2 linked regions of the Oryzias latipes genome follow. The protein of the gene in region 2 purifies or fractionates together with the protein of the main gene of each other region. This does not show direct contact. Links are inferred from orthologs where the notes say so. Each region holds a gene or a part of one and is shown on either strand. Other genes may lie near its edges.

Region 1 (10,632 bases), on a different chromosome or scaffold from region 2:
ATCAGCCACTATGTATGTTGTATGTGCAGGACCACAACCTATTCAGGAGGATCTTGGACTTGCCTTGTACTTTTTTACATCAAACACATTGTTACTAATGAAGATATATATATATATATATATATATATAGATAGATATATAGATATAGATATAGATATATATATATATATATCTATATATATATATATATATATTTATATATATATATATATATATATATAGATAGATAGATATAGATATAGATATAGATATAGATATATTATTTGCTGTGTTTACTACTTGCCTGAGTGTAAATCCAGTCTAATAAATCAATGTATAGTCATAAAAGCCCTGCCCCCTCCTGCAGAAAATGTCTACTCTTTTTAGAAAAACTGTCCTTTCCTCGTCTCTTCCTATCTGTCATTCTTGCTGTTCCAGCTGGTTGATGAGGAGAAGGCTGTGGTGTTGACAGAAAATGAGAAGCTGGTGGCCCTGTGCCAGCAGCTGCAGATGGGGGCCAAGACCCCTGTTCAGGGCAAGACTGCCCCCTTCCAGAAGGTACCTAAACTGCATCTTTGGCTTCATTCATCTGGAGTTTTATGTGATCGTTGTTCATGTAAATGCTGTGTATCAAGGTGAAAATAGTTTGTGTGTTTATTCAGAAAGATTATTTCAAATCAATACCTTACTGTCCCACTAGCTGAAATCATCTTCTAAAGTCCTCGTTAATCTGTCTTTATTTTCTAATTAATGTATGAGTTTTATATCTAAAATGAGTTTGATATATCGGTTTTGTAATTTTTTTAAATTGTATTATTCTATTACCTATATATATTTATAGAGAGAGAGAGCAATTTGAAAAAAAAAGCACTGCTTATTAAAACTCCCCACTGTTTGTTTATAAATGCAAATATAATTACACACTCCATGTTATAAACACACTCACTAGTTTTTGGGGAATTAATAAATTAAATTGTTTTTTTTAACTTTAGAAATGTGTTATTAGTTTATCAAGTCAAATAGACTTTCCGCTGAAGTATTTTATTGTTATTTCCAGTGCTTTATAGCATTCAACCAATTATTATTAGAATAATCATCAACTGAAACTTTATAATTAAAGGGAATGACTGTTTTGCTTTGAAATACACAAATTATTTTTCCAGAGAAACGTTTGGCTTGTAGAAACCTAATTTGGCCGGTAAACTTTGGATGTTACCGGCGTCCCGACTGGTAACCAAAAAAGTTCATCTAGAATTTTAGGTAATTCCACCTTTGTAGGAGCAATAAAGTTTTTTTTCCAGTCTATATATTGTAAGGACAGTGAAAAGAAGCTACCCCCCTTGTTAGTTATTTTTTAGTTATTTTATAATTGTTTAGTTTTAAAACTGTTCAAGTGTTTGTGGGTTCATTACAAACCGTGTAGTACTGTAAATGGCCAGCAGGTGGAACTAGCGCCGTCGAGTAAGAATGACGTCATGCTGGAGCGAAGGGCAGCATGAATGAGAGGGAAAGAAAAGAGATCTGAGGAGCACTGAGAGTTTGTTTTTCCAGAAAAAAATAACCCACATGTATGTGCTTGCATAAGCTGCTTTACTTGGAAAAACCCGTGAGTAAAACTCACAAAATGTGCAGTGGTGTGCTGTTCATTTAAAGTGTGCAACAATATTCTGCCCAGACCAAATTCCGATGGAATTCTGTTTCAATATGTAGCAATTTTCTTTCAATAGGAGGCAGTAAATATCTTTAATATCATAGAAAGGCTAAATCAACATTCAGAGACCTTAATTAAAGCATGTGTGAACATCTACTTTCATTAGGCGCAAAACAAATGAACAGACATTTGATCTGGCAGTTTAAACACTTTTACAATATTTAACGTTTTATATTTCCCACCAAAGCCCGCCATCAAAAGAGGGAAAAAAGAAAGAAAAAATACCTTTAAACATATCAACTGCTAATGTAAAAGCTTGGGTAAATGAACCCAATTCAATCAATCTGAAACATTTAATTTTAAGCGAAAATGTCTTTTCTTTGTATTTGTCTGCAGGTGGACTCCACCATTCAAGCAAGCAGAAGTCTAATGACAGTGGTCGCCTCCCTCCTTCCACTCTGTAACAAGCTCATCAAAAAGGTGACATCCAGACACTAAACTGAACACTAAACTCTTTAAAGTGCCACTTTAAATCCATCTTTTGATCTATTCTAAAAGCCCTCCCAGTGGTCTTTTAATTATAGTTGTGTTGTTTTTAGACAAAATCATAAAACCTGTGTCGTTTTCTAGGACATAGTTTCTGCAGAGCAGAAGGAGTGCGTTAAGAATTCACCTCTGAGTTATAGCTGTGAATGTCTTTCCTGTTCTCTCCCAGCTATCCAGCCGTACATTTTTGAACCAGATGTCACTTTGGACAAGGAAAACAAAGACGTACACGGATCAATTTGTCTACAAGTGGATGCATCAGAATGGAGCAAAGCAGGAAGCTTGTGAACCGCAATCTTATTCCAACGGCATTTTTCCGTCTGCTCCTGATTCACAAAAGCTTGAATAAAAACTCAGAAATACAATTTTAATCTGAAGATTTATATATATATATGTATATATATATATATATAGATATAGATATATATATAGATATGTATGTCCCTCATTATCAGAAAAATGCCACAGGAACATATTAAAAACACCAAAAAGACCATTTTCATAGAACTGGGTCTAATGAAAAATATCCCAAAACACAAAGATGCCGTCTAGAACAACATTCACTTCATTAAGTTCTCAGTTGGGGGAAAAGCATCAGTGTTTAAATGTCTTTGTCCCCTAATCAGAATCTCCTCTGTTGCAGCATAAATCAGAGCGTACAAGCCTCAGTTCCCCTCAGGACTGGAGGGAGACGCAGCACACGTCCGCTCCAGTTAAAAAAGACGCGGCCCTGAATGGCAATAACAGCAACGGCTTTGGAGTCAAGTCCTTGGACGAGCACATGGCCAGCCTCAACCTACTGGAGAGCAAATAATTCAGGAGATGATCTCCATGTTATCTTGTTCTCCGCATCAGCAAAGCAACCTCACTTCTGTGGAGCACTCCTGATCCAAGAAAGAGTCACTAGAAAAGTGGCTAGAAGCTGTAAAAACAGACTTTGTTGGGCAGAATTTGCCTTAGGTGGAATAATTCTGCAGTTAAAAACATAAAAGCCCAATCTGGAGGTAGTCATGCACTGTTAATCTGAAACAGTTCCATCCCAGTCCACTAGAGGACGACAATCAAAACTACCGGTAGTATTGCGTTTCCAAGAAAAGTGAGGTCATCTTAAATCTAATTTTGGAGTAACCGTCATTAGTTGAGCTAATAAAATGATCAGAAGTCAGGAAATAAAAGCCCCCCTTCAGCCATACATCTGTCTTCACCATGTGCCTCAGTGTAACAGACCTGTGTGCTTTGTGCTGTATTGTTAATGTATTGGACAAGTTACATAAGGACAAAAAAACACACAAGCTACATGATGCAGTCATCACTACAACCTTTGTGCAATCTCAGCCTGGTAACATGAACCTTTTAACTAAATGTTTTATAGTGGCCATACGAGTATTTTACAAGTTCAACTTCATTTGTCATCATTTCACGTGTGATAAGTTCATTTAGCGAAAGAAAATCTGTTCAATGCCAAATATTCTGACTACTGCAAACTAATCAGAAGTGACAGCGGAGACTTTTTTTTTTTACCTTATTTAGGAACGAAAAGGTTAAGTAAAGCTTTTTAACCCTTGTGCTATCTTAGATGACCCCACCCTTACATTGACGTCTTCTCCCTACCATGACTAAGGTGGATAAAGGTGGAAAGATTTCATGTAATCCATGGACACCAGTGAAGATCACAAATCATTGAAGAAAAAAGGTTCAGAGCACTGTCTAGTGGGTCTAGATGACCCAACTCCCAATGGTAAAGTGCCTAGGATAGCACAAGGGATAACGAGAAATTATATCAGATGCTACCGTCTTAAATATTACAGAAATTATTCAGAAGTGCCACGCATTTGTGGATACTGGGAAGCATCTGAACCACTGACTGTAAATGAGGACTGGACTGAGTAACCCCTCCCCCTGGCGTCCCAAACAGGAAGTATCCACTGGTTCCAAGAAACCAAAATCTCATAGACCTTTTATAAAGCACTAGTTAGCATTTTTGTTAGTCAGAATAATCTTTCTTACCCTGATACCTTATTTTTACATAATCTTGATAATTTTATATGTTTTTTTCTTTTTTGCAAGTTATTCAACGTATAAACTGACCAGACACCTCAATAACAGGTAACCCCCCCACATGGAACATTTAACAGATTACCCCCGCTTTAGGTGGTATAATAAGCTCACTCCTGATTGGTTAGAGGGGTTGCCATAGAAACAATGACTCAGATCGACTTGGACCAATCACTTGCTTACTGACAATTTCAGGCTCCAACAGGCAAAAAAATGACTGAATCGACTTCGTTGGAGCCAGAAGTCCTTTGCTATGGGTGACATCACACTCAGTCCAGCTCTCATATATAGTCAAAGATCTGAACTCAACTGCATGTATTAATATGATATATTTCTAAGTATTTATGGTACTTGAAGCCTATTCAGTGATGGTTTTGCTATTTCTAGAGGCAGTCTGATGATGATTTAACTGTGTGAGAGCAGTTAAAGATGTGAAAAAAATCATATCTAGTTTTGGATCACCTCTTCTTTTGACAGCTGAAACGTGAAGAAAAGAAGAAATAAACAATATTTTTTTTAATTAAAAAAAAGTCACCGGTTGTTTTTTTTACAACAAAAAAATGAACGACTCACTATTTTCTCCAAAAGTAATTTAACAACCACAAAAAAAGCAAGGCCTGTTAGAATCAAAATCAACAATAGTATTGATTAATACATAATTTTTCAATGCACCATTCAGTCTGTACTCCATGTGTTTTGAGCTGATGGGGAGGAAAAAAAACCCAAAAACTGCTGTTCCAGCTTGAAGATGGCACTCTTCATCAGGACGCTTGTGGCTGCTGATCACGCTTGGAGACGATGCTCTCAAACTCTTTCCTGCTCAACAGATTTTCTGTCACACTCTTGCTTTCCTCAAACTTTGGGAGGATGACAGCGATGTATCCTTCAGTTGACGGCTGATTGAACAAAAGAGAATAAATGTGTCAAAAAGGATGAAATATTACAGGATTTTTGGTTTGAAAGTGTTCTGATGTAGTTCTGGTATCCAGACGGTAAATTCTACATTTAAAGAGACATAAATGTTCAGCTTTGATGACGTAAACAAACTTGCCTTTTCTAGTAACAGATTTGGTCTTTCCAAAATATTCTCATTGACCTCCAGCAGACGGCCGCGGATGCAGCTGAAGACAAATGTTTAAGTTACAAAAACGTTCCATAAAGTGGAAGATGAATCCAGGATAAAGGGCGGGAAATCTCACCTGTAGATTGTATACTTGGTCTCATCTGTGCATGTAATTCTACACAAAGGTGCAAAATCTGTAAGAAACTGACCTCCCTGTTTTGGGGAGAGGGGAGTAAAACATGAAAAAGGAAACATTTTGATACTAGAAATAAGAGCACAAAAATAGTTTACCCTCTTGGATTTTCCAGAAACTTTATTGTTTAAGCGACTGCAGCCGTTACTGATCTGGTAGTTTATGGTTTTGATTGTGCGTCCATTCTGGAGAACCGGATGGGTTTCTGCTAAAGTGACGACACATATTCTGGAGAGCAAAAAATATATATATGAAAGTCTTTAGACAATATTTATTCTAGAAGTAAATAAACTATAAGCTGAGTGGAAAATGACAGTAAAGTAACTGTCTGGTGTGTGTATAAAATGCAGACTTAACTGCAACTATAAATCACCTAAACTTGAACAAAAATGTAATATTTTCTGTTCAAGTTGTTTTAGATTTAGAGGATTTAGTCTTCTGTTGCAACTATAACATATATTGGGATTTTTACACTAAAGGAATTCTCAATGGTACCGAGACAACTCACTGCGCATGCGTAACGCGTTAGCAAAGAAAACTACTAATTAACTCCACCTGTTTGAATGCTGGAGAATACAGTGGTCCTCGCATGGTTGCCCCTTCATATCTAAAATATAGAAACAATTGCTTATTTTTAAGCCAATATACTTGAACATATTACTTATCCAGTTAAATAAAAATATCGACGGACATTAATTAATCAAGACTTTCTTACCTGCTCTGTACCACCGTGTGTAGTATCGGTCGATAATTGATGGCGGCTCTAATTCAGTATCTTTCTGCGTCTCGCTGTCCATTAAATCTTAAATGCAATAACAAAATTAAACACCTAAAACTGCGTCGCTGGTGTGTGTTCAACGGACAACTGGGGGCGTGACACGCTGGGTCCCTCCCTTAAAAACGTCCGACTACTTCTGCAGGAGTTAAAGAGTTCCACCCTCTACCTAAAAAGGAGTTTTAATTTTTTTTATTACTTTTTTATTTTTTTATTCCACTGAATAGTAGGACTTTTAAAAACACAAAAGATTTTTAGTAGTTCCCCACTAAGTTTGGTCGAAATTAGCTTAACATGTTAAAAGAAAAGGGAAAAAAAGGGAGCTAAAATCCACCAATTCTTTATCCCTACCATTTCTTAAAAAACTCAGTTAATCTAGTTTGTGTTTTTTACCCCTTTGTTTACATTCCCCATGTTAAATCTTATTAAATCAATGTTATTTTTTTTCACAAACTGTGTAATTCCAACTTTAAAGTCCTATAAACACTCACTTTTTAATTAAAATGATTATTGCCAAATGATCACTTCTTGGATCAATTTGTCTACAAGTGGATGCATCAGAATGGAGCAAAGCAGGAAGCTTGTGAACCACAGTCTTATTCCAACGGCATTTTTCCGTCTGCTCCTGATTCACAAAACCTTGAATAAAAACTCAGAAACACAATTTTAATCTTAAGTTTATATATATATATATATATATATATATATATATATATATATATATATATATATATATATATATATATATATATATATATATATATATATATATATATATATATATATATATATATATATATATATATATATATATATATATATATATTAGTGATGGGACGATGATACCTCAAGGTGTGTATTGACACACTAAACAAACTGTGTTGTCACTGTATTGATACTGTGTTGGTCACCCAATAGTGACCCCAGCAGTAGTTATAAAATCATTGCAGGTAAAGAAATTCCTTGTTGGTGTAAATGCTAAAACTGAGTTAGTATGTAAAATATAGCAAATTAGAGTAAAAATTCAGAGTTACAATTTTTTAACTTTTGTGCACATTTGTCATCTTAACTTTTAAATCATATGAAATAAAAGACAAAAAGTGATTAGTTCATGAATTTTTATTGAGAAACCAGCTCCCCAGCCGCATGGTACAGACGATGATGGTGAGCAGAGGGTTTTAAGTGCAAGTTGATAAAGATGTGGGTATATTTCCTGGTTCCATTTCCAATATTGCAAAGGATCTTGGTTTCTGGGTGTGTTTGTTTCTGCCAGGTAACGTTAGACTTCAATAATGGAGTCAGCTGTTGCGTTCCTCGTCTTCTGGGTCTCTGCAACCTCCAGATCTAAAGTTTTCCAGAGATTGTGCCCTAAAAAAATAGTTAATCATTACTTTATTATCACATGATATATCATATCACAAAGTGCCACTGAAATGTATTTTCATACCTGAACTGGGTTCTGACCCATGTGAAGAGCTAGGCTCTTCTTCTCTTGGCTCCTCATTTCTTCTGCACATTCTGACTGCAGTCTCTTCACCGCTTCACTTGCCTTTTGCTGACTAACAAATCCATTCTTTTTAAATCTGGGATCTAACAGAGTTGCCAGAGTCATCACACAGAGATTCCATGCCGCAAATAGGGTTAGTTAGCCGCTTCCTCAGGTTTTCAGCCAGTTGCTGAGCAGCTATTTTTGTTACAGTTGTGGCCTGACGTTGGAGCTCAATGTGGATCATTCTCATCATGGGAATGACCTTCGACCCAGAGACCCTTTTTTCCTCTTGAAGCTTGGTCAAAAGGAGCTAGAACCCTGAGCATCTCTTCAATGATCTGACATTCTTCTGGAGTCAGTGGAGTGATGTCAGGTTTTGATGAGGCCAGTGACACCCAGACTGCCTCCTTCTGCTCAGTCATTCCTTCAAACATGTAGGTACTGTTCCGTCGTGTTGGCACCTCGTTTATTCATTTATGGCCCCGTGTTCCCAGCTGTTGCTGTATTTGAGTGAGCTTCTCTTTAGCAGTCATGCTCCATCGAAAGTATGTCACAATGTGTCGTGTTTTGTTGCGTATTTCAGTTATTGTTGGGATTTGATCACATGATTTTCTCACAGTTAAATTCAGGGAATGGGCTATACAAATGGTATGCCGTATTTGCAGCATTCAAGCACATGCAGTCATGTTTGCTGCTGCATCAGTGACAAGACACCTGACCTTTCCTGCTATGCCCCACTCCTCCATGAGGCTCCTTTTAACCGTGGCAATGTTTTCTGCAGTGTGTTTCTGAGGAAAATGCTGCACTGCCAAGACTGATGAATGGAGTTCATGGCTAGATATGCCTCCATATTCATAGACGTCCACATATCAGCTGTTAAAGTAACAGCAACGGCACTCTGGAGGTCCTTTTTGGTTTTCTCCTTTTCCTCCTCATATTTCTGGCTCACCAAGTCCTTGATGGTCTGAAAACAACCATACAAATACTGTTACACCAATAAAATATAGTTATATAGTTAGTACAAACATATAATAAACATTCTTAAACATACCTTCCTGCTTGGTAGAGCATACGAGGGTAAAATAAGCTTCAGAAGCTCCCTGAATCCCTCATTTTCAACAAAGCTGAGTGGCTGACAGTCTTTGATGATCATATTGACCACTGCCTCATCCACTGCTTGCTTGTTAGGAACTGCAAGCCAAAAGGAACTATTTTGTCAAAAGCTTAATAAAATGACTGTAATTTTTACAAACAATATCAAATAGACATAATACGACGTGGTGGAGCAGTGGTTAGCACTGTCGCCTCACAACAAGAGGGTTGGATGTTCGATACCTGGCCTGGAGCCTGTCTGTTTGCATGCGTGTTTTTTTTTTTTAGCACAATTTTTAGAGAGAATTTAATAAATACCTGGGGTACTCTCACGAGTATCTGCCAATTCTTCATAGCCATGCGTAGCTCTATAATGCCTCAGCATTGATGAAGTGCTCTTATTGATATAAGATAGCTCTGTGGAGCAGAGCCGACACTTCACCTACAATAACACAAAAAGTTTATTTATCTGAAAACAATTCAAACCTTTTACCAGAACATTGCATTCACTTGTTAAAAAAAATAAACACCCTATCTCATGATTAGGGATAAGGATCTCATAATTACATGATAACATGAATAAAGCAACTGTAAGGCTCTCTAACTGACTATCATATGTATCACGGGTCATTCACTTGATAAACTGATAAAGTGAGTGCAATGCGCCACCGTAAAAAATAGTATATAAAGGAGAAAACGATTTACCTTGTATGGCGTCACGAGATCAAAATTATTCCACACCGGGGAACACTTCCTAGGACGATCCAGGATCAAGCAGAACTCCATCCGACAAACCCACGACATGTTGATACAGTTTGTTTCCTGATAAACACACTTTGGCGCGGCACATCCAAACATATATATATATATATATATATATATATATATCCCTTATCATCAGAAAAATGCCACAGGAACATATTAAAAACACCAAAAAGACCATTTTCATAGAACTGGGTCTAATGAAAAATATCCCAAAACACAAAGATGCCGTCTAGAACAACATTCACTTCATTAAGTTCTCAGTTGGGGGAAAAGCATCAGTGTTTAAATGTCTTTGTCCCCTAATCAGAATCTCCTCTGTTGCAGCATAAATCAGAGCGTACAAGCCTCAGTTCCCCTCAGGACTGGAGGGAGACGCAGCACACGTCCGCTCCAGTTAAAGAAGACGCGGCCCTGAATGGCAATAACAGCAACGGCTTTGGAGTCAAGTCCTTGGACGAGCACATGGCCAGCCTCAACCTACTGGAGAGCAAATAATTCAGGAGATGATCTCCATGTTATCTTGTTCTCCGCATCAGCAAAGCAACCTCACTTCTGATCCAAGAAAGAGTCACTAGAAAAGTGGCTAGAAGCTGTAAAAACAGACTCGTGTTGGACAGAATTTGCCTTAGGTGGAATAATTCTGCAGTTAAAAACATAAAAGCCCAATCTGGAGGTAGTCATGCACTGTTAATCTGAAACAGTTCCATCCCAGTCCACTAGAGGACGACAATCAAAACTACCGGTAGTATTGTATGGAGAGAAATTAGACTCAGTCGGATTTGTGCGTGCGTAATTCTTGATTTGTGCGTAAATTAGGATTTGTGTATGCATATTCTTGCTTTGTGCGTGCGTAAATTAGGATTTGTGCATAACTTTGGATTTGTGCGTGATTTGTTATTCACATAACACGTTTTGTGTATAAGTTAAAAAAATATAAAATGAAAAAAATACAAAATGCAATTTACATATGCACAAATTAAGATTACAACAGCTTGAAACTACTTACACACACACATCTTTAAA
Region 2 (9,540 bases):
CTGAAACCGGGCCCAGAAAAGGCTCCTGAAGCTCCTCTGCTTCCTGTCTGTTTCAGTTGGTTCCACCGTTCCAGCCGCAGGTCTCCTCAGAGACGGACACGCGCTACTTTGATGAAGAGTTCACAGCACAGACCATCACCATCACTCCGCCAGAGAAATGTAAGCCAGTAAAGCCAGAAAGCAGCATTTGTTCAATCATGATCACCAAAAAACAAAAAAGATTTTTAGCGTTCAAGACTTTTTAGAACTGTGTGTGTTTGTCTCTGCAGACGACGAGGACGGGATGGATGCAGCAGACAACGAGCGAAGGCCTCATTTCCCACAATTCTCCTACTCAGCCAGCGGGCGGGAGTGAGCGCCCCGGCCCGGCCAGAAGCCTCTCATTTCGTGGCCATTTTGAGGAAAACACGTAGCCATTCTAGGAAGAAAAGAAAAAAAGAAAAGAAAAAAAAACAGTCTCCCCTCTTTCTCCTCATCTGCCGCCCTGCAGATGAGGAGACGTCTTTTTAGGGACTTTAAAAGAGGTTTTTGCACAGTGGGATAGACTCCAGCCGGTTTCCCCACACTAAAGAAAAAAAAAACAAGATACAAAAGAAAAAAAAGTGTCTCCTACATTTCCAGCCCTCTTTACTGCAGAAGGCAATGTTCTTATTTATTTTATTTGTCTCTCTGTCAGTATTTTGACCCAGGTCCATGGTTTTTGTTGTTATTGCCCGTTTTTCTTCTTCTTTTGACTTTTTGCACTTGGTTTGGAAGAGCCGTTTTAGGGAACAAAGAACCAAAAATGTTGCCTTACGTGTGCAGATGTTTCGTATCATACCAACAGGGTGTTTTTGTTTGTTTTGTCATCGTTTTTTTTGTTTTTTTTTGGATAAGGGTGGGTGGGTTTTGGGATATGAAGGGTCAGTCTTTGTAGAGGAGAAGTGCATGGTTTGGATAAAAGAGAAGAAAAAAAATTCCTCCCAGTTGCCATGGCAGCGCACATTTCCCAATACCATGGCAACGGCAATTGCTGTTAAAAAAAGAGAATGGATGCGTTCCTTTCGTTCCGTTTCACCCTCATAGCTCCTTTTATTTTGAAACACTACTGGAATCGCATAGTTCACTCAGGCGCCCGCAGAGCACACGCCCGTCCAGCCGCTCCCCACAGCCGGCGGAGGGCGGCGGCCTCCTCTGCTCCCAACGCTTCTGCTTCTCCTCCGTTTGCTCCCCACCGCTGTCGGGCGCAGAGGAAGGACGCGATGCCGTCACGGCGCAGAAAAGCGTTCAGCCGGAGGTCACCGAACCGGACGCCGCGGGTTCAGGTGTGTGCGAGTCCTGCGCCGCCCACGCTGAGGCCATGCCTCTGGAAATCCATCGTTTAAGTTCTACTGCGTCACTTTGTTTGCAAAAATGCTTTTTTGATATATTTTCTGTCAAATTAATCTTCCTTTAAAGATGTTTGAAATGCTGCTTTTTTTTAATTTATGTATTTATTCTCCAGAAATGTTAAAGCGAACCCAGTCTACAAACACTGGAATGAGCTGGAGGACTGACGGGGGGGGACATGGTGTCCACAGTCATGTCTTTCAGGAGTTTGGTCCTCCTTAACTTTTCCGGTTTATGTTTTGAACAGACTCAGGAGCCCCAGTTTCCGTTCTGGTGCAGTAAATCTTTGAGATTGGGAAGTGATCCTAAAGGATGAAAGTGTAGAGGAGGTGTTAGGACCAGGAGGAAAGGGTCTCGTTGCTGTTTTTCGGTCTGCATCTGCTCCAGATCGCGGCTCGATGCTGTCCTCGGGGGACGTGGGCTCTCGGGTTCGGCCAGAGGAGCCCTCTGAAGTGTGTAAAGTCTTGAATACTGTGAATTCACTGGGCTCCTCCACGTCAAACGAGACTCCTCCTGGTGGCGAGGAGCAGCCACTGATCTGATTTCTCTGAGGGCGCCGCCGGCGTCTGTCCAGACTCCTCGGATCACGCCGTGCCGCTCCCAAATATTTATGTGATGAAGATGAGCATATCAATGGCTGGAGAGCTGCAGAAGCTGCATGTTTTCGGGCTAAATTACTTATCCACACACAAACCGACAAATACTTCTTTAAATAGGAAAGAAAGTCTAGTTTATCACACAGATGCTATCAGAAGAGGCTTCCAGCTCCTCATACAGAGCTTTTGCCACATCTATCCTGTCAGTATTACCAGAGAGTTTATTTACTTGTTTTTCCAAGTGTGAAAACGTTTTGAGTTATTAATCGTGTCACAAGAAAACTGAGCCGAGAAGACGAAGAACTGCCGCGAAAAGTCACTTACTTGTCGATGTACATATGCAATGCTTCTTTTTTTTCCCTGTTTTTTTGTCCATAGCGACGAGGCAGACCTGCTGAAGACAATAAAGACCTGGAACCCACTCAGAACTGCATTTAAGAGGAGAAGAAGTTGTAAAAATACGAGGACTAGACCGTGAAGCTTTTTCTTTTCCCACCTGCTGACTCTTAACCGTACACGGAGGATGCTTCCTGACCCCACCTTCCTCCCGTCAGCGTGGCCCACGAGAATGAGGGGCTCCTGGAACCTCTGAGCGGGTTCTGTGGCCCTTCGCCCGGGACCATGGCAGACTTTTTTTGTTTTATAGTACAGGCCTCATCAGGTTGTTCCACCATTCCTCGAGGGCCCCCCCACCCCCCTAACTTTTATACGTTTTTATTTTATTTATGTTTCATCATTCTTGGCAGTGATCTCTTGTATATTGTAAAACAAACAGAGGCACCTCTTGGAAGTTGCTGAAAAGATGACGATGGATGCATTAAAGTCTCTTATTTTATTTGTTTTTGGGATCATTTTGCTTGTTTGTTTTCTTACCAAAACGTTAGAGCAAGACCCCAGTAGTGGACTTGCATTGCCGTGGTAGTATTTATTTTGAATTAAATTAAAAAGAAAAACATTTCAGGGGTTCTGTTGTGTCCATCTCTTTATTATTTTTTGGATGGTTTTTGCTTCTTTGAGCCAAAGAAACTTGTATTTAAAGTACCTTATTTTCTATGTAACAAATATCTTTTTCCCCCCTAACAGGACTTTTTTTCTCCATTCCTGATTCACGATTTAAATGAAGAAACGCTCAGAAATGCAACTTAGAGCTACTGCAATTTTCTATATGTCCATCATGAGAAAAACGCCTCAAGAGCTTGTTAAAAGCTGTAATTTCTTCTCAACTGGGCTTTAGCAAAGTGAAATATCCAAGTCAAGTTGAGCAACAGAGTCACAAGAACAAGCAAAAGGCTGGATTCAAGTGCAGCAGGTTTATTAGCTCAGCTAAAAGTCCACAAAGCTAACTCCGGGTCAGGCAGGCAGGAATCGATAACAGGCAGGAGATCATCAGAGGAGAGACAGGGTAGTCAGGATCCAGAAGCTCTGGTCCAGCTCCAACACTCGGTAATAAAAACAGAGTGGCACAAACAATCCTTCTCCCTATGTGGCACCTTAAGTCGACTGTGATTGAGTGAATATGACTCAGTTGTGTGGCATCCAGGAAGTGCACGCTGGGGTTGCTGGGAGATGAAGTGCATTCGGGACTCTGGACATAGTTCCCGCTGGTGACCAGAGGGGGAAACAGAGTTCTGACTTCTGACAAAAAGACTGCAAGGAATGTGAAGGTTTACATGCGGTTAGTTGTCCAGATTTGATTGACAGTTCTGGTGAATTTTGACAGCATCTAAAGATCAAAATTGTAGTTGTTTTTTTACTTCTTTTAGCAGAGCAGAATCCAACAAACTCTTAGTTGAATTGAGGTAGTAAATGACAAATACTGAAAGATGAGTAATGAATTCTGAAGCGTCTCATTTATGAGTATTAGGTAAAAAAAATAACTAAATTGATCTCAAGAGGAGAGCTGGAGAGTGGTGTAGTGGTTAGCACTCTTCCCTCACATCAAGAGGGTTTGAATCTTTCTGTGTGGAGTTTGCATGTTCTCCCTGTGCATGTGTGTATTCTCTGTGGGAACTCTGGTTTCTTCCCACAGTCCAAAAACATGCTTCAGAGGTTAATTGGTGTCTCTAAATTACCCGTAACCCTTGTGCTATCCAAGGCACGTTAACGTTGGGAGTTGGGTCATTTAGACCCACTAGACAGTGCGCTGAACCGTTTTTCTTCAGATCTTCACTGGTGTCCATGCATTACATGAAATCCTCTCCACCCTTATCATGGTAGGGGTAACACGTCAATGTAAGGGTGGGGTCATTTTGACCCCATAAGATAGCACAAGGGCTGGGTGTGAATGTGAGCCAACAGTTGCTGGGTGGGGTTCCAGCCCTTTGAGTCTGAAAGGGACGGACGGATGGATGGATGGATGGACCTCAAGTGACAGCAAATTTCTGAAGAAAATCCAACAGACGTCCCTGCATCTGTAGCACACACAGCTGTTTCCTCGTCAAATGTGTGAAGCTCCTCATTGGACACTGATACTGATTGGAGTTTCCTGAGGAGCATTTTTCCTCTAAATAATCAGTAAAAAAGTCAGCGCTGACACGGTTTCCTTTGCCAACACTTCTTTTTAATCGAAAACAAAGATCATCTCTGCTTGCAGACGCTTTTACAGAACTAACTTAAAACAGAACGAAGACACTGTCAAGTGTCACTAAACCTGAGATGCAGGTCGACTGATCAACAGAAAGGATAACGAGAACCAATATGGTCAGCTGAGAGCTTGGCTCAAGCTCCTCCCCTCCAGAGAGCCACCACGCCGCCTCCCTGAAGTGAGCTTTTCTCCGATGAAGAACATCTTCCGGGGTCACTCTGGGATGGCGGGAGGCCAGTCCACGTCCACAGACTGACACAGGAAACAAAAGTTAGACTCAACGTTTGGACACGTCGGGTCAGAAACGTTTAGGTCGAGGGCCCCACCTCCACGTCCAGCTCCAGGATGTCCGTGTCGGTTTTCAGCAGCTCACACAGGTTGGGTTTAGTGCGACCGAAGTCTCCGTGCACAAACTCTTTGATGTAGCTGTTCGTCAGGCGTTAAGAAGTTTCCCGCAGCGGCTCTGACAAAATTAAACTAAGCAGCAGTGAGGATACGTCCCGGCCTGCGTTTTCAGCCGCAGGTAAAAGTGGTGATCGTCCACGTAGCGGGCGTTCATGCTGTGGATGACTCGCTGTCGGACCGCCAAAGCCCGCCGGTGCAAAACCCTTAGAGGAGTCTTCTGACCTAGAGTCAGGTCCTGATGAGACAAAACGGCATTTCAGAATGTGTTGCTGTGCTGCGCATGGAGAAAGAAAGTCTAGTTTCTTCTGATCGTTGGACCAGATAGACCTTGATCTCATCGATGAAGCCAATGTCTTCTTTCTGAATGGGCCTCTGGGTCCAAACAAGCGCCGTGTACGACTTGGTTTTCTCCTCCTCTCCCTCCTTCATCCGACCCATGGCCTCCCTGCAGTTTGACACACAGCGCCGTCAATCGCGCTCACTCGTCGACCCACAGGCGGCCGCGCAGGTGAGGCATCCACGCTCACCTGGTAACAATCTGCAGGTCTCGCACTCTGATCTTATCTGAGGACTTGTTTATGGTCTGAAAACAGAAGACAGTAGCGGCTCTGAAGAAACAAATTCCTTTGTTTTTTATCTCATTTAATCAAACATTTAAACAAGAGGAGAACCCCCTCGTTTTAAGAGGGTCCTGCAAGGTAGATGAGAAATAATGAGAAAGACCATTTTTTTTATTTAAACAATTGACATTTGCTATATTTGGTCGCTGCATGTGAAAAACTGTTTAAGCTCGAGTCATTTATAGGTTAGTTTTAGTGATGAAAGAGCAAAATATCTTAAAATAGTTGGGATTAGAATGAATTACTGATAGAACTCTGAAAAAGATCTAAAAGCCCTAAAAACTATAAATCTGCCTCTTTGGTAGAAAAAAAACTGACTTAAGCTACGTACTCACTGGGCCCATTCAAGAACGCACGGTTAGCCCACGGTGTTCACACTGGACAAGCAGGGGGGGTCTTCTTCTTTTTAATACTAATAATAATTGATACTTTATTTATCCCACAGTGGGGAAGTTCTTCTCCGCATTTGACCCACTCCCCGGGGGAGCGGTGAGCTGCAGCCGAACCGCACCAGAAGAGGCTTCATGCGAAATGTTGTAGATGTGCAAATCTCGTAAAACTTGCTTCTTTTTTTTTTTTTCCCCACAGCCCCAGTCCAATATATGAAAGATTTGGCATCCGGAACAAATCACAACTAGGAATTTCTCCTCCATGATCAATTTACAAACAGTTGGCTCTTTTGTGACTTAAGAGGGACACCGTCCATACGTCAAATCCGGGTCAGAGAGGTCAAAGTTCAACCTTGTTTAACTAGCAACGCAAGCCCAAAAACGGTCTTGAAAGCGTGCGTGAAGACCCGAGTTTTGAACGCAGAACCCCGAAACACTTGCTTACGTAGACTTTTCTTTGGAAGTGGCCGTGTGAACGTATTTTGCAGAGCTTTGAGACTTTTGCATTATAAAGGAAAGCTCAAGAAAGACTTTAATCACCTCCTGTAGCTCTTTCATCTCCAGTTTGCTCAATCTGGATCTGTGTGGATTCTGCAGCTCCATCGCAAACGGTCGTCCTGTTGGAAAACACGCCACATGACAGTAAAAGATACAGAATAAGAAATAGGTAGATTTATGTATTTCAATTAAAAAAACAATCCTGAATTTCAACCCTTTGACTTCCGGATTGAAGCACTTTAAAAAACAAAATCAAGTACCCACATGGTGATGTGCAACACAACCATTGACTGTACACGACAACTGAACTGAGTGACCCCCCCTCCCAGCGAGAGACATAGACTTCTATAGAGAAACACACAGCTTGGTCAGAATAACCATTCTTGCTCATGTGCTTGATCTTCCTAATCTTTTTTTTCCATTTTATTTGCAGTCCAAGTTATATAAGTTACAAAGTGGCCAATCAGATGCCTCAACAAACGTAGGTGGTCTCGCATTGAGCGTCTGAAAAGTTTAATTATTTTGATTTTTTTGTAGCCAGTTTTTAAATTGTAGGGGTGTGGCCTTCCAACAAGCTCACTCCTGACTGGTGAGGGTGGTTGCCATAGAAATGTTGACTCAGACCGACTTGGATCAATCACCGCTCACTGACGACGTCCAGCCTTCAACATGGCGGCGACCGTATCACAAGAAAGTGACGACTTAATTGACCGCCTTTGGTTGGAGCTGACGGTAGGTGTGTGCGATGACATCACACTCACTCGTTCCAGGCCTCAGATACAGTCAATGTAAACAACCAAGCAATTCAATTGTGATATCACAACACGGTTGTGTCAACAAGCTTCACAGCTGTCGTTTACTCACAAGAAATCGCTTATTTTCCATTATGTAAATGTAAATTAGCTCCATTTTAAGGCAGAAATGAACATGTTTACATTCTAATTTCACCTTTTCAGGAAATTTTATGACTTCATCACAGCTATATATTAATGTTTTTACAAACATTTTTGTTTTGCTAAACATTTTTTCTTCAACGTGTGCAGAAACGATTGACAGGTGGGTTTTGAACCGTCTGCTCTGCAGCAGCCTGAAACACCGTGAAGCAAAAAAATCTGGTTTCAAGTTTGGCTCCGCCGTCACATGACCCCATAGAGCGTCCATCTCCGTTAAACGGCGCGTTAAACTCACCGTTTCCCAGAGTCCGGACATCCACGTCTTCTCTACCAGACGAGGAGAAATTAAATCCTGCCAAACCAGAAGCAAGGCTTTGTTATGATGGTTATCCCCGGTTTACTCGCTGTCATGGGGTGGCGGCTTCGGGACTGCGGCGGCGCCTCAGCCGTGGACTCACCGCCAGCTCTGAAGGCCGTCAGGATGGGCGCTGCAATCAGCTCCTCCACCGAGGACTCCATCCTCCTTTCTCCATCAATCAACCAGGGAGTCTGAGGCAGACTGCGGCAGAACTTGTTGTACCTCCCTGGACGCGCAGAGGAAGAGGAGACGGGATTCAGTCGTCACCAACACCTTCAGGACATTTTCCAAACATCTACCTGCTATGAAGACGGACACATGGAGGCACTGCACGTCCTGAGGGACGCAGCTGCAGGCTGGCCGGGCCGGGGGACAGGGGTACTGCCTGCAGAGGATGAAGCAGAAATTAAAAAAACAACTAACATTTGATGAAAAACTCTCCGTTTGAAGGCGAAACTTACTTTAGGAACTTGTCGTCGGATATCTTTTCCAGAGCTTTGACCACAGCCATGCGGGTGAACACCGACTGTAGAAACAAACAACAGTTTTTTTACCCAACAGAAGAAAAACAAACAACAATTTAGTGATGTTTCAATATCCTTAAATCATGAAACTTTCAATTCACCTGCTTGTTTTTGGTGGGTTTGAAGCAGTCGGGACAGACTTTAGCTCTGTTGGAAAAACAGAAGTTGAAGGTTTTGCTTTTGTAGACGTCACTCAGAAACTTGATTCTGTCCCGCAGCCGTCCTGGACAGAAGGTCCAGATCGTTTTTACGCTTCTTCTGTCTTACATCGCCTTTGAATGAAAACTTCACAGTGAACGACCCCCCCCCCTCCCTTAAAAAATATAATAATAATAAAAAATGACGACATCATAGTGGGAGAACCATAGAATAAAATGAATGGAAACAAAATCTGTTACGTGGCTCAGAAAATCTTGCAGGCTCGTGTGTTTGTGTGTGTGAGTGTGAGTGTGTGTGTGTGTGTCCCAAGTAGCTTCACAATGATGCTCGAGAAGTTAGGAGGTGAGAGATCAAAATCCTTTAGGAGGAGTTTAAAGGTGTGGTAAAGGCGATTTTTATTTTTGAAAATTAAAGATTACAAGTATCTTCCTGAGGTCAAAGGTCAACAAAACATCAGTGGTGGTTGTAACTTTTCCCCATGCCCAAAATTCATTTCTACCGGTTACTAGGTGCATGCCCACGTTTGCTGAGTTTTAGATTTTGTGGCGGATGACAGAAGGATTGCACAAACAATCGTATCCTTCAGTCCAGGACGTCTGTGGGACAGAATGAAAATGTCCATGAGTCATTAAAAACAAGGATATACAGTACAGAACAGAGGTTTGGACTCACCTTCTCATTCAAATGAATGGGAAGGTGAGTCTAAACTTTTGGTCTGTACTGCACGATTAAAAATATGTGTGTTAAAGCCAGAATAAATAATAAAAACCTCACAACAGTTCAGCGAGTTTTAAAAACCTTTACACAGTTCCAGCAGGTCCACGCGTTCTTTTACAGCTTATCATTGTGAGTGCAGGAGCGGCCAGCGTCTGGCACTTACAGGAAGTGGCAGTCAGAGTCCGTTTCTGGATGAGTGAACTCCACGCCGACTTCAAAGCCGCTCTGCAAACATAAAGTCAGCTTCATGTGAATCGTGTGGTCATCAGATCACGGGAAAGGCCTCCGAACCCCAGCGAGGCTTTTGATTTGCTCAATCGTTCCGCTGCTGAATGTCACCTACTTTGCCAACTACAGCAACGCCCCCCAACTCCTTTGCAACCAGACTTTGCATGATCCACTTGAAGGCCTCCTTCACCTGGATGACAT

The links.
Region 1: the proteins of pus10 (region 2) and fam206a purify together in Homo sapiens (affinity purification with mass spectrometry; 3 studies listed by BioGRID and IntAct, counting the BioPlex papers as one, with this or other methods). This does not show direct contact. The link is inferred for Oryzias latipes from reciprocal best matches to the Homo sapiens genes PUS10 and ABITRAM.

What each region holds. Positions count from the first base shown.
Region 1 is NC_019869.2:9,198,885-9,209,516, forward strand, and holds fam206a (protein Simiate), read right to left. Parts: upstream 6,399-10,632; 5' UTR 6,286-6,398; coding exon 6,204-6,285; intron 6,096-6,203; coding exon 6,044-6,095; intron 5,717-6,043; coding exon 5,587-5,716; intron 5,509-5,586; coding exon 5,432-5,508; intron 5,354-5,431; coding exon 5,284-5,353; intron 5,129-5,283; coding exon 4,994-5,128; 3' UTR 4,734-4,993; downstream 1-4,733. Other genes in the region: ctnnal1 (alpha-catulin), read left to right, coding at 419-538, 2,028-2,111, 2,821-2,991; zinc finger BED domain-containing protein 4-like, read right to left, coding at 8,480-8,716, 8,804-8,943, 9,163-9,229. UniProt on the Homo sapiens protein: Actin-binding protein that regulates actin polymerization, filopodia dynamics and increases the branching of proximal dendrites of developing neurons.
Region 2 is NC_019859.2:4,093,776-4,103,315, forward strand, and holds the end of pus10 (putative tRNA pseudouridine synthase Pus10), read right to left. Parts: coding exon 9,455-9,540; intron 9,337-9,454; coding exon 9,275-9,336; intron 8,383-9,274; coding exon 8,337-8,382; intron 8,238-8,336; coding exon 8,173-8,237; intron 8,097-8,172; coding exon 8,011-8,096; intron 7,938-8,010; coding exon 7,812-7,937; intron 7,706-7,811; coding exon 7,649-7,705; intron 6,580-7,648; coding exon 6,503-6,579; intron 5,537-6,502; coding exon 5,481-5,536; intron 5,399-5,480; coding exon 5,281-5,398; intron 5,189-5,280; coding exon 5,046-5,188; intron 4,975-5,045; coding exon 4,875-4,974; intron 4,801-4,874; coding exon 4,762-4,800; 3' UTR 4,503-4,761; downstream 1-4,502. Other genes in the region: RAC-gamma serine/threonine-protein kinase, read left to right, coding at 57-159, 270-355. UniProt on the Homo sapiens protein: Protein with different functions depending on its subcellular location: involved in miRNA processing in the nucleus and acts as a tRNA pseudouridylate synthase in the cytoplasm.